Linked DNA regions of Stegostoma tigrinum. The protein of the gene in region 1 purifies or fractionates together with the protein of each later gene. This does not show direct contact. Links are inferred from orthologs where the notes say so. Each region holds a gene or a part of one and is shown on either strand. Other genes may lie near its edges.

Region 1 (7,144 bases):
CCAGCCATTCAAATACTGTGGCCACAACAGCAACCCAGCAGCTAAAGATTCAAAGGTAAATAACGCATCTCTCAACTCCTCAAAATCTGTGCACCACCTGGAGTGTGACAGAATACTGTCCACTTTTTTTTGCTGTTGCAAGATGGCAAAGTAGGATGCTCGTCCACTCCACCTGCTCTTCTTTTCTCCTCCTAGTGCTTCTTTTCTTCTTTTTTTTTTGCTTTGACTCCTGGCGTCTGCAAGGAGCGACATTCCCCAGCCTGGCAAACTCCCAGCACTGGCGAGGTAACTTCCTCCTGTATGGGCCCCCTGGCATAGCATGGTGACCTCCTAACATAGGGACCTCGCCGCCTGGCACTGCAATGTTTCGAGCTCATGCAGCATAGCAAACTCCCAGCCTGGCACAGCAGTCTTGTCCTGTGGGGCCTCCTGCTGCGACTTCCCAATGCAGCGTGTCGCCAGCGCAGTGTGGAGCCAGAGCCCAGTGCATACTGGAAGCTAAGTGCCAGTGTGGTCTGCTGTACTGAACTCTTTTCAGTATTATCTAAAATCTTGGCACAGTTTTTTTGTTACAAGGTACTTTTGTATCTAAGTCAGTGCTGTAATTGGCAATGTATAAATTTTTCACTCTCCATGTTGAGTATATGTGACAGAAAGGTCTATTCTATTCTTTCAAACACAAATGCAATTCCAATTACACTTGAAAAGATCATCATCGACCAGATGGTGGTGCCCCATCCACTAGTGTAACCACTCACCTCCTACAAGATGATACAGCTACTCATTTTGGTACCTTCGGCATCACCCACCTAAACCACAATCCCCAGCACCTTGCATGACAAAGGCAGCTGAGGCAAAGGAGCACCACCACCTGCAAGCTCATTTTAAGCCACACACTGTCCTGACTTGGAATCATATCTGCATTCTTTCACTGTGGCTGGTTCAATATCCTGGAATTCCCTTCCCAATACCAAGTGGATTACAGCAATTTAAGGCAGCCGCTCACCAGCACGAACTCAAATGAAATTCAGAATGGGCAATAAGTGATGGCCTTGCCAGCAACACACACATCCTACAAAATATTTTTTTAAAAAATACTATGTGCCTACATTTTGTTTCCACATTTTGACATACGCATAGAATCCTGGCAGTTAAAAATGCATCTTCAAGAGGCAAGACATAACTCAGGGCTACCCAAGCTACAGAAAACATCAAATAAAGATTTGCTCTAATGGAGGAATTGAAATGATTTTAGTAGCTTTTTGGGCCATACGCCTAAGCTAAACAAACTATCAAAGATAATCAAGGAAAATTTTGATGAAAGAGTACAAAATTATAACAAGTAAGGTGGAAAAAGAGGAGCTGTTCTCATCAGCTGATTTTATAAAGATGAAGGGGCACCAATTAAAGGTTTCAGGTAAGCGATGCAAAGTAAATTTGAGAAATAAACTATTTTTTCTGTTTTGAGGGGTAATGATGTGGAACTCACTGCCTATGAGATTGGTGGAAGCACAGACCGTGATTTCACAAGGAAATTTGGCCCACAAGGCAAAAAATACACAACCACTGAGCTTTGTCCCTGTTTTCCCCCAAAGACAGCTGCTCTCTATCGATCCTAATTATTTTTAACATCTTAAACACTTTAAAACAGAACATCCTTCAATTTTAAATGCAAGGCCCCTGTTTCTCAGAATTTGTTCTATTGGTTCTTCCCAGTTCAGTTCCAATTATTCATTCAACATTGAACCTGCCTCTCTGAATCCCTTGTACAAATTCATCATGAGTTTCATCTGTTTTGCCTGGGTCTTTAGCATCTCAAGGGTAGAACCCAACCAGAATATTAGGGTAAAAAAACTATTTCGATTTCAGAAAAAAAGTCATCTGTTCAGACCAACCGCAAACAATTGTTATATAATTTCAAATCAACCTGTTCAGAGATGTTATTACACACTTCTAAAGCAAACGAGTGTTGAACCATGCCTCCTGGTCCACAGGGACACTACGACTATCGCACAAGTGTACATTTCTCAGCCACTTGCTATACACAGCCACTAGGAATGGGACAGCTGCCTAAGAAAGAAAAGTAGCCTCTCAAACCTGCACTGCCATTCAGCAAGATTGTGGATGATATGCCTGTGAGCACAAGGTCCCTTTTCCCGACTTCAGTTTATAGCCTAAAAGCTACAAAAAGCTGTAAAATATATCCCTCCGTGGGGATAAGGAGGAAAATGCTCTTGAAGCCCAGGATCAACTCCCACTCCTCCAGAGGGGTTATATCATGTCTGAACAGATTAAGAATACCTCTCCGTCCTTAGGAAAGACGACTGCCTTATGGACCACCCGTGTTCACATTACATGTATGGCCTCAACAAGGCTTCCAAATGTTACATATCACCCTCCTTGCCAAAACGAAACCCATTCGGATTCAATAAGAACGATCCTCAATGCAGAGACAGCAACGTGCTGCTTTGATGCTCCTGATCAACGAGGTCAGTGTGGAGACGCACTGTGCCTGAAATAACGGACTGCGGACGCTGAGAGCCCGAAACTGGAAAAGCTCAGCAGGGCTGGTGTCATCTGTGGGGAAAGAGACGGAGTTGAGGTTTCGGTCAGAAACCATCCCCAGGGAAAGGGGGGAGGGGTTCGCCGCAGAAATGGCGCTCTGCTCCGCTCCAAAAACCAGGCCCATACTGAGAGGAATCGTTTCCTCACCCACCGTCCCCCCCAAGTCAACAAGACGCCTCGAAATGGTCGCACACCCCACATCCTGCTCTCCCTTAAACCTCCACAGGCTCCCAATCCCGTTTCAATGCACTGTTACCGGACAGGGAGAGGTCACTTACCCCGATCTCCACGACCTCTTGGCCCGGTCACCTTCCCGGCCGTGCAGCCACCTCCTGCCGCTGCCGACCGCACCGAAGCTTCTCCACCTTTCCAGATTCTTCCAGCGCATTCAGCCCATGGGCGCCACCATCTTGCCGGACGTTGCGCCACGGTTGCCTTGTGGCGTCAGGGTGCCGGACGTGACGCCACTGCGGGGCAACTGGCTGCGTGTGTTGCCATCTGAGCGCCGCCATCTTTGAAACCCACCAGCCCCCTCAGGCCTTTATCTCACTGAAGCCAGAGGCAGGGAGGTTCAATGAAACTAAAACGTAAAGCCTTGTTTTCTGTCCACAAATGGTGCCAGAAATGGTGTTTCTTCAACAGTTTCTGTTTTTGTTTCAAATCATCAGTTATTTTTATTATAAACAATAGGGAGACACTGGACTTTGATGCTCCAAATTACAAAGCAATGGAGTTTTTAACAACTCAAATAAAGGCCATGAACTCATCATATCTACCTATTCTAATCCTATTTTGCTGCACTTAGCCTGTGTGCTCATCTAAATATTTTACTTTCTCGCCATACAAACAAAGTTGATAACTGATATTATGAGAAGAGATTGTGTTGGGACTGTACCTATTGGACTTCAGAACAATGACAAAAACCTTAATGAAAAACATAAGATTCTGAGGTGATTTGACAGGGTATGTGTTGAGAGGTTGTTTCCCCTTGTGTGACAGTCAGGACCAAAGGCAAGAGTAAGAGATCTTCCATTGAATACAGAGATGAGGAATTTCTTCTGTCAGACAGTATTTTAATTCCCGCAGAGGACTGTTGATGTTGGGTTGGTATGTTCAAAGCTGAGGGGGCAGAAGGGGAATCAAGGGTTACGAAATAGGGCAGGAAAGTAGACTTGAGGATTATCAGATCAATTACAATCTTATTGAATGGTGCAACAGAGAAGAAGCAAATGTTCTGCTTCTGGTGCTATGTGTCATGATCTTTGCCAAGTAATTAAACCTTTTTTTTGCTTATTCATTAACAGTGTGTGGGTGTTGCTGGCCAAACCAGCATTTATTGCCCATCTGTAAATAGTCATAAAAGAGATATGATGAATTGTTTTCTGGAAACTCTGCAATCTGTGTGGAGAAGGCATGTTATAGCATGGTGGAGGAGGTGAAGAGGAAGAAGCTTAGGGAACGGAGGTCAAATTACTGATATGGCCAGGAAATTGGCTGAGTGGCAGGTGACAAAATGTAGAGGTTATGCGTAGACACTCAATTTGACAGCATTTAACCAGTGATGTCCCAGAAGGACCTATGTTTAGGCCTCGATTATTTACATTATTTATTAATGACTTAAACAATAGCATTGAAAGTCATATCCAAATTTGATGATGACACAAACTAGGTGGCATTGTGGACAGCATAGACAACAGCATTAAATTACAAAGGAATATTGATAAACTGTGGCGGATGGAGTTCATTATAAGAGTAGGGTTATCCATTTTTGACCAAAAAGGGATAGAAACGTAGAATCCCCACTGTGCAGAAAATCAAGTCCATTTCAGCCCATCAAATCTGCACCAACCCTCCAAACAATATTCCAGCCAGAACACCCCCCCCCACCCCATAATCCCAAATTTAGCATGGCTAACCCATCTAGCCTACACATTCCCAGACACTATGCAGATAGTGTTCCACTAAGAGCTTGAACAGCTCATCAACTTTGCTAACACCTTCCAGCCAACCTCAAATTCACTTAAACCATCTCTGTTACCTCCATCCGCTTCCTGGACCTCTCCATTTCCACCTCTGGTAACCGCCTCAACACTGACATCTATTTCAAACCCATCAACTCCATAGCTACCAGGACTGCACCTCCTCTCACCAACCCCTTCCCCCCCGCAATATTGCGATCCCATACTCCCAATTCCTCCGTCTCTGCCGCATCTGCTCTCAAGATGCGACGTTCCTCTCCTGGACATCTCAGATGTCCTTCTACTTCAAGGACAGCAACTTGCCCTTTCCAGTGATCAAAAATGCCCTCAACCACATCTCTTGCCATTCCCACACTTCTGCCCTCAAACCCCCTCCTCCCAACAAAATAAAGACAGCATCCTTCTGTTCCTCACACATCACCCCACCAACCTTTGCATGCAAAGCATCATTCCCCACAACTTCTGCCACCTACAATTCGATTCCAAGACCAAAGAGATATTTCCCTCCCCATATCTTGTGCCCTTAGTAGAGACTGCTCATTCTGCAACTCCCTCATCCACTCCAAACTCCCCATTAGCCCCACCATCTTTCCCTGCTACTACAGGAAGTGCTACACCTGCCTCTAAACCTCCCCCCTCACCTCCATCCAAGACCCAAAGCAAACTTTTCATATCCAATAGGGGTTCACCTGTACATCCTCCAACTTGGTCTACTGTATCTGATGTTCCCGATGTAGCCTCCTCTACATCAGTGAGGCCAAGCGCAGACTCGAGGAGTACCTGCACTCTGTACGTGACAAATGATAAAACCTTCCAGTCATGAACCATTTTAAGTCCCCCTCCCACTCCCTCGATCACATGTCCATCCTGGGCCTCCTCCAATGTCACAATGACGCCACCCGGAAACTGGTGGAGCAGCACCTCATATTCCACATCAGAAGCCTACAGCCTAATGGCTTAGACATGGAATTCACCAGTTTTAAAATCTCCCCTACCCTGGCCTCATCCCATGTCCAACCCTCCCCTCTCATCCCCACCTCCATGGACCTGATACAACCTGCCCACCCATTCTCCCTACACTTCCCACCAACCAATCCCCACTACCCCCATCTGCATCCACCTATCACCACCCCACCTACCTTCCCCAGCCCTACCTATCCTCCCTCCTGCCTCCTTGACTTGACAATAACCTGTCCATCTTCTCTCCCATCTATCCACCCTACCCACCTCACTGACCAAACCCCACTACTCCCTACCTGCATTCACCTATCACCATCCCACCTACCTTTCCCCAGCCCCAACCCTCCTCCCTCTATGTATTTCCCAGCTTCCTTCCCACTCCCCAGTTCTGAAGAAGGGTCCACACCCAAAACATCAACTTTCCTGCTCTTCTGATGCTGCCTGACCTGCTGTTTTCCTCCAGCTCCATACTGTGTCGTCCTGGACACCACGAGCTATTTAGCACAGCCAATCCACCCTAACCTGCACATCTTTGGACTGTGAGAAGAAACTGGAGCACCCAGTGGAAACCCACGCAGACAAGGACAGAATACGCAAACTCCACACAGACAGTCACCTGAAGCTGGAATCAAACCAGGATCCCTGGTGCTGTGAGGTAGTGGTACTAACCATTGTATAGCCATGCCACCCATAGATGGATCAGGGTACTTTCTAGACTGTATGAAATTAACTACAGTGGATGTCCAAAGAGACCGGGGGGGGGGGGGGGGGGGGGTGCTCAGGTGCATATCTTGAACAGGTGCAGAAAATAATCAAAAAAGCAACAGGAATGCTGACATTTATGTCTGGAGTACAGGAGTTTGAGGATGCAGAATTTATGCTGAAGTCAAACCAAAGTCTGATTAGACCGCACTTGGAGTACTCTGAACAGATCTAGGCACCACATTGTAGGAAGGATATAATGGCCTTGGAGGGAGTGTAAGATTTACATGAATGATACCCGGACTTCAGGGTTTAAGCAACAAGGAGACGTTTTACAAATTAACTCTGTTTTGTCTAGAATTTAAACTGTTAAGGGGTGATCTAATCAAAATCTTCAAGATACCCACAGGAAAAGACAGGGTAGATAAAGATATGATGTTTACACAGGGTCAGGGCTTTAAAACTACGGTACATAAGCTGAGATGGCGGGTCAGACCACTCAGGAGAGATGTTAGGAAGCATTTCTATAGACCAAGGGGGAGGGATAAATGAAGGATAATCTCGTTGAATGATAGAACAGGCTTGAGGGGCCAAATGGCCTATTCCTGTGTTCCTAAGGTAATCGCACAGTTAAAGCTGCAAGAGCTCCAGCAAGACAGACGGGAACAGCGATAACGTTCCAAGTCAGGATGGTGAGTAGCTTGGAGGGGAACTTGTCAGTGATGGTACTCCCATGTGTCTGCTGCCTTTGCCCTTCTAGATGAGAGTGATTATGAACAGTTAATGAATAAATACTGCTTAAAAGTTACAGGAGTACCTGGATCAACTACCCTTTCACACAGTGAGTTCCAGACTCTCTCGAGCTTCAGAGCGAAAATAATTCTCAACTGTCCGCTTTCCTCAAAACTGCTATGAGCTAGCATCATCAGCACAGTGGC
Region 2 (7,041 bases), on another chromosome or scaffold:
GTATAACAGACCAAGTTGTGGCTCTGGGTGCAGTTGTGAAGCCAGATACTAGCAGTATTACTGTGGGTGCAGGGAAAGTGAATTAGTTACCTAAGAGCTACAGGGAATGCTTGTTGAAAAGAAAAGCAGCTCCTTATCAAATGAGATAGGTAAACACATTATTATACTTTGGGAATGATTTGCCAGCGGTAACATAGTAGCTTCTTCAATAAAAACAGAAAGCAGTTGCAGGAAAAGATTCCAGGATTTTTGCCTTCATGTATACTGACCTGAACAATGGCTAAACAAATTTAAATGTTGGAAGCCAATTTGGCGCAACGGGTGTTAGGCTTTCTGAAACTTTGGGGATTTGAATAATCTGAAAAAAATGTTTATAAGTCTTCTTCGATCAAGGTTCAGCAAGTCAATCCAGAGTTAAGAAGCATATTCAGCACAAACCAAAATTTAAGCAGAGGCATTTCCAGAATACTAGAATATTAAAAATATGATTCTAATTTGGAAATAGAGACATTCTCACAGACCTGTGAATGAAGATAGATGGTTCACTAGATAGTGATGCTGCTCAAATATCATCAGGAGATATTAAGGATAGCCAATTAAATTCCGAAATAAGACATGTAAGGATCCAGAAAAACCAAACCTGAATAAGATGACATTTCCCTTGCCAGGACTTCAAAAGAACTTTTTTTTTTAAAAAATGTGTCATAATAGCTAGATTGTAGGAAAACCACAGCTGAAAAGAAACCAGCAAAACTAATTTCCTCTCTGAGGAAGCGTCTAGGCCCAAAATGTCAGCTTTTGTGCTCCTGAGATGCTGCTTGGCCTGCTGTGTTCATCCAGCTTCACACTTTGTTATCTTGGATTCTCCAGCATCTGCAGTTCCCATTATCTCAGACTAATTCCTGTACTGTTTTTTGGGTAATCAATCTTTGGGGTGCTGGTAAACTGTGAGTGTCTTCTACTGAAAACAGGAGTGAGAAACCAGTATATCTGTACTTTTATGGTTTGACTGCTTTGTTTCCAGATGCTAATTCCTTGAGAACAATTTCTGCCAAGCTAATGATGGAGAAGTTAACAGAGTTCTTCATTCAAAATGGATTAACAATTAAGATCTGGCTGAATTGACATTCCAATTATATGTCGAAAAAGTTCTCAAGACAATTATGAGCAGTCTGGATCTAACACAGTTAAGTCCTTAGTGTACAACCCACACACACACACACACACGGGGTTTTAGAACTGTACGGTCAAACCCCCAAAACAATGTTTAAGGTATAATGTTAATGTTACCTGTTCCCAATTTGTATGGAACCATAATTATACAAATGAAAAGGAACCTCAGTCATGTGGATCCTCAGGCAAGTGAAGCAATGACAAGATCTGACAGATTTAAAGTAATTGTCGCAAAGTCTAAAGGGGAATAAAACCTACAGACTTGTTAGGATCTGAAATGCACACCCTGAAACAGTGGTGGAAGCAAATCCCTTTAGCACTTCTAAGAGATAACCGGACATGTGCTGGATTAATTTTCAGGTTTACTGGCAGAAGAACTGGTGTGTCTAAATTGAAGTTATTTCAAAAATTGACAAAGACATATCAGACCATATGACCTACTTCTGTCCTGTAAGAGCTATCATTCTATTTGTAAATAGTGCCCAGTAAAAATGCAACAAGCTGTTGCATAATTGCGATTTTGCATAATTTATAGAGGCTACTTTTGTAATATATATATATCGCCAGAAGTGTCCTTACACACAAAATCGAATGATTTTCCCACCACCAAATCACTGACAATTTTTCCAACTACTAACCACCACCAATAAGTCACCTGTACAACCAATCTGATATTTACATGCAAAGCCTATCACGAACAATGCAAACCATCAGAAGTGAGGGAATGGTAGGGAGAACAGGAAGGGGGAAATACAGCACTGAAGCCCTCAGGGTACCACCTGTTTCTAAAGGCATTGGGAACATTGGTGGACACTATGTGCTCTGTCTCCAATGGCACCCAGGCAAAAATATAAACAGAGGCCCTTTATTATGTTTTCCTAATCAACTGTTCAGAGATGTTAATGACACACCTGTGGAGCAGGTGGGACTTGAACCCAGGCCTCCTGGTGCAAAAGTAGAGAAATTAGCACTGTGTTATGAGAGCACATCTGACAAACTCTTTAGATATTTTCTAATCAACCTTTTCAGCAATGATTTTACACACCTCTGAAACAAGTGGAACGTGAGCTGTGGCCTCTTGGTTCAGAGATAGGGACATTACCATTGCACCACAACTGCCATGTAGTTAATTAAATATATACAAGCAAAGCCCATTATGGGCAATACATACACTCAAAAGTGAAGATGGGAGGTAGGGAGAAAGGGAAGAGACAAAACCAAAATGGAGGTGGAGAGGGAAATAAAGCACAGTATCCCGCCAAGGTGCCCACCTCTCTTTAAAAGCAACAGATTCTTTATTTTTCAAAGAAGCTCTTTATTGTTTTATCTGCAATTTAATACATGTTAATAATTAAGTAAATATTTTATCCTTGGCATTCCCATGAAATATTTTGAATACATGAATCAAGGGTAGTTCGCCCTTGATTCAAATTTGTTCAATTCTAAATGTTTAATTCTCATTTTCATCACTGAATTCCCATTTTGCTCCATTTGTGTTGATTAATTCAAATTACTGACTAATTTCAAGCATGATTGTAAAATATTGTGTCCTGATGATAGGTCACTAATCTCTACAGAGAATGCTGTCTGACCAACTACATAATTGCCAACATTTACTGTTTTAATAGTTGAATTATCAGCAGATTGCATAATCATTTTCTGTAGTTTGTTTTCGCTGCAGTTTTTCATCAGCCATGTATTTTGAATTTTTAAAAAGTTATGTATCTTTTATTCGTCTCAACAGAAATAGCAGATATTAACATTCCTGGAACATCTAAACCCCAATGCTTATCTCACCAACATACTACCCTTTAGTGAAAATGAGCAGAAGGATCAACTGTGCGCTGAAATCATAGGTATTTTCCACTATATGGGTTGCACTACATTTCAGGAATATTTAAACACTACTATAAAATTTTCTATTTTCTTGATGCTACAAATTCAGAACAAAATGAAGCATTTGGTGAAATACATATATTTTTGCGTAAAATGTGGAATTAACTTCTGAACATAGCTAAACAAACTTCTAAACATTTGCAGTACTTTTGGATAAACATGTGCTGGCATCAAAATAAACAAATGAGATTCATTAGGAATAATATTAATCACATACTTTTTTTTAAATTATAAAGACCTTGAATATTGATGAACAGCGGGACTTGCTGTTTATGTTTCGCTTTGTCTTCCATTTCCAGGGTCGACACAAGAAAGCCAACCTTCAAATGATGACAACAGCTTATGCTACAGGAGGAATATGGCAAAACATCTCTGATGTCCAGGGTGTTGCCATGGAAAAAAACAAGGAGCTCAGGTTCCCTCGTCGCCCAGGTAATTCAGAAAAGGTACAAGACTTGAACTCATTTGTTTGCAGAGAATTGATCCCTGAAATTAACAAATGTTGCTTTCAACAAGACGTCATACGTTTGACATATGGCTTTGTACCTGCCACCGAAATCCAGATATAACGTTCTCTCCACCATTATGACTACTGAATCAACTTTCCCCACTCTGTTAGATTAGAGAATAAAACGCTTTGAGATAGGCGAGGTGAGGGGCATAGATCGCCAGGCAGCGAAAGCCAAAATGAAAACATTTTCTTTCCTGCATGTGTATTGGGGTGCTTCTGGCGGATGCCTCCTCTCCAATAAGTGCGATAGGTGTAACGAATGTACAAGAGATTGCCGTCAGCAACGAAGCAACCATCTCCCTCTCTTTTCCGAGCTCTGACCGTTTCTAACGGAACTCCGCGCGTTGCCGGAAACTGGATTGCGGCACTTCCGGCAGAAGTTTCTGGTGACACTACTGGTGCTTCGCCTCTGCTTGGGGCAAGGGGGTGGGGGGTGCCGGTAGTGACCGTCCCCGGCTGCTGCCGCCACGAGGGTAGGAAAACACTCCCGTTCGCCTTTGTGTTCGACAGCGCCGCGTTTAACCTCGTTTCTTGTCCCACTTGTTTGGTAATGACTTCTAGAACGTTCTGGGCAAGAAGCCGGTTCATGTTTTTGCCCGGAGTGGCCCGTCTCCCCCACGCTGCCGAGTAACCATGGAGGGAAGGGAGTGTGCGGCCGCAGCCAGTGGTTCTGCCCCTCGAAAGGCTGAAGTCAGAGAGAGTAGCAGTAACAGCAGGGAAACTTGTGACTTGAAACAGGTAGGTAGGAGGTCCTTTGTGCTTTCTCGAACTTTTTGTTTTAAATTTTGAGACTCCTCATTGGTCGAGCCTCCATCTCCAACCCTGCTGTTCACCTGGATGTAGCCCTCGTCAGTTATTGACACCACCCCTCCCTTATCCACAATCCCGGAGGATCCCGGTTACTTCTCCAAGGACACAAAGCACAGAAGGCCCTCGAAATGACCATTTGCCAGTTGCTCCCGGTAGTTTAGAAACCAGGGGATGCGTTGAAAGTTTTAGCGATAGGAATGGTGCGGGTGTGTTGCTTTGAGTTGCAACTTTTGAAATGCAATTTATGGTCATGGAAATGCTGCCTTTGAGGATGTTGTACTCAAATGAAAGATGACATCAAAAGGAAGTTCCATGAAGACTTGAGGAAAATCAACTTGCAGGGCTGTGGGGGATAGAGTAGGGAAATTATAGTCGCTCAGAGATCCAACATGATTTTGATAGACTGCCTTGCTCCTGTGCCGTGATAACTGAGATCTGATCTGATCTTTCTTTCTTGGTCCCCAGTTTTGTAATTCCTAATCGCACAAAATTCTCTAAGGTAGTGTGGAGCTGGAGGAACACAGTATGGAACTGGAGGAACACAGCAGGCCAGGCAGCATCAAGTAGGAAAGCTGATGTTTTGGGTCAGGACCCTTCTTCAGAAAATTCTGTCCTGCCATGTTCCTCCAGTTCCATACTGTGTTCCTCCAGCTCCACACTACCTTAGAGAATTTTGTGCGATTGGGAATTACAAAACTGGAGACCAAGAAAGAAAGATCAGATCAGATCTCAGTTATCACGGCACAGGAGCAAGGCAGTCTATCAAAATCATGTTGGATCTCTGAGCGACTATAATTTCCCTACTCTATCCCCCACAGCCCTGCAAGTTGATAACACAGTATGGAACTGGAGGAACACGGCAGGCCAGGCAGCATCAAGTAGGAAAGCTGATGTTTTGGGTCAGGACCCTTCTTCAGAAAATTCTGGCCTGCCGTGTTCCTCCAGTTCCATACTGTGTTATCTCTGATTTCAGCATCGGCAGTTGTAACCAGCACAAAATCTTCTGCCCCCTTTTGAAGATCCACAATTACGGCCACCCACGTACAGTTATTGTTTCATCTGGTTTTTACTCCACTCATCTGATTCCTTGTTTTCACAGCTCATATTCCAGTTTATCCTTTTGTCTGACCTTCTGATGTCTGTATTTGTGACTCTTGATGCTCGCAGCCACTTGCAGTTTCCACTAATGGAGAATAATGCAACTAAGCACCCGCCTATCCAGTTCTGAGGGACAAGTTGAGGGGGCTAGAGGGCTTGTGGGGCCTCCATTCAAACAAGAAGTAATCTGTCCCTATTCACCAACACTTCTCTCTGCCTGCCTGCACTCGTCAATTTTGTACTAGTTTCCCTCAATTTCACTGACTTGTCCTAAGTAAAATGAGTATTCATACATGAGAATGGCCCCTATCTGTCTTTTCATGGGATATGTGGCATATTCTTTATTATAGTACAATTAGGGAGCCCCTCCAGCAGATCTATTTCTGTGTATTGATGGTGCAATTGGTATTTCCTACTGTTGAATTTTTCAGCTCTAGGCAATCAACCTTGTTTCGTGTTTCCACCATTCCCTGCCCTTCAGCTCCCAGTGTTCCTTAACTACTTTGTTTTGTTTCAGGTGATAGGCTACCAAACAGTTCCTATTGTGCTCTCTCAGACTCTAACTGTCAACGTGACTACACTCCCTACAATCCTGCTTCCTTTCTTGTATCTTCTGTGCTGCTGCTTGCCTGTTCTGATTATGCCACCTCTGAACCATTACTTCCTCTATTGTGGGATTTCCCTTCATTCTGGTTGTTAGGATCTTAAACAGTATCTGTCTGTTTCCTCTCAGCCATTCCAGTACTACAGCAGGACTCCTCTTAACTCCAGCCTGCCCATTCAACAGATTTATCTGCAATTTCTGCTCCTTGTAATGTCAGCAAATGCTTCCCTTTTTCCAGTCCAGAGGTTCACTTTGCATTCTGCCTCCCCCTTCCCATGGCACGTTCTGTTAAAAACATAGGGGATGTAACATCTGCCTCTTCCACCCTTCACATTATAGATACCAAAAACATTCTGCCAGTGGAACAGTGATTTATTCTTTCAGATGTTTAACCTACATTTTGTGCATTTGATAAAATACCTCTTACATTTGGTAAACCAAATACAGATTAGGTGACTTTTTGAGGAATGCAATCTTTCAGTTTAGAAATGAGACTCTGAACTTAGCATCACCTGTCGCTTTAATTCTGCAGTCCATGCTGTTCCAGTGAAGCTCAATGAAAGCTTGGAGAAAAGTGTTGTATCTTTCAACAATGCACTTTACCACCTCCTAGATTTTAAAATTGATCTCAAGAATTTTAGATGATGACAATTGCCTCCAATACAAGCAAGGCTAACAGTTGTTGTGCTGATCAACTTTGGGAAGAACTGTGAATGTTGCCTGCTTGAACTGTTACAAATGTAAGTACACTTGCAGTGTTGTTAGAAAGGGAATTCCAACATTTTGACTGAGCAATAGAACTGAAATGGTATATATTCCAGTCAGGATGGGGCATGGATTGGATGGGAAATTGCAGATAATAGTGTTCCCATATATTTGCTGCCATTATCTGGGTTAAGGTTATTGTTAGAGGTTATTTGGGGCGGCACGGTGGCTCAGTGGTTAACAC

Evidence for each region. The genes of interacting proteins can lie anywhere in the genome.
Region 2: the proteins of hspbp1 (region 1) and edrf1 purify together in Homo sapiens (affinity purification with mass spectrometry; 3 studies listed by BioGRID and IntAct, counting the BioPlex papers as one, with this or other methods). This does not show direct contact. The link is inferred for Stegostoma tigrinum from reciprocal best matches to the Homo sapiens genes HSPBP1 and EDRF1.

What each region holds. Positions count from the first base shown.
Region 1 is NC_081391.1:14,492,695-14,499,838, reverse strand, and holds the start of hspbp1 (hsp70-binding protein 1), read right to left. Parts: upstream 3,001-7,144; 5' UTR 2,844-3,000; intron 1-2,843. UniProt on the Homo sapiens protein: Inhibits HSPA1A chaperone activity by changing the conformation of the ATP-binding domain of HSPA1A and interfering with ATP binding. Interferes with ubiquitination mediated by STUB1 and inhibits chaperone-assisted degradation of immature CFTR.
Region 2 is NC_081373.1:31,646,801-31,653,841, forward strand, and holds the start of edrf1 (erythroid differentiation-related factor 1), read left to right. Parts: upstream 1-3,953; 5' UTR 3,954-4,213; coding exon 4,214-4,318; intron 4,319-7,041. UniProt on the Homo sapiens protein: Transcription factor involved in erythroid differentiation. Involved in transcriptional activation of the globin gene.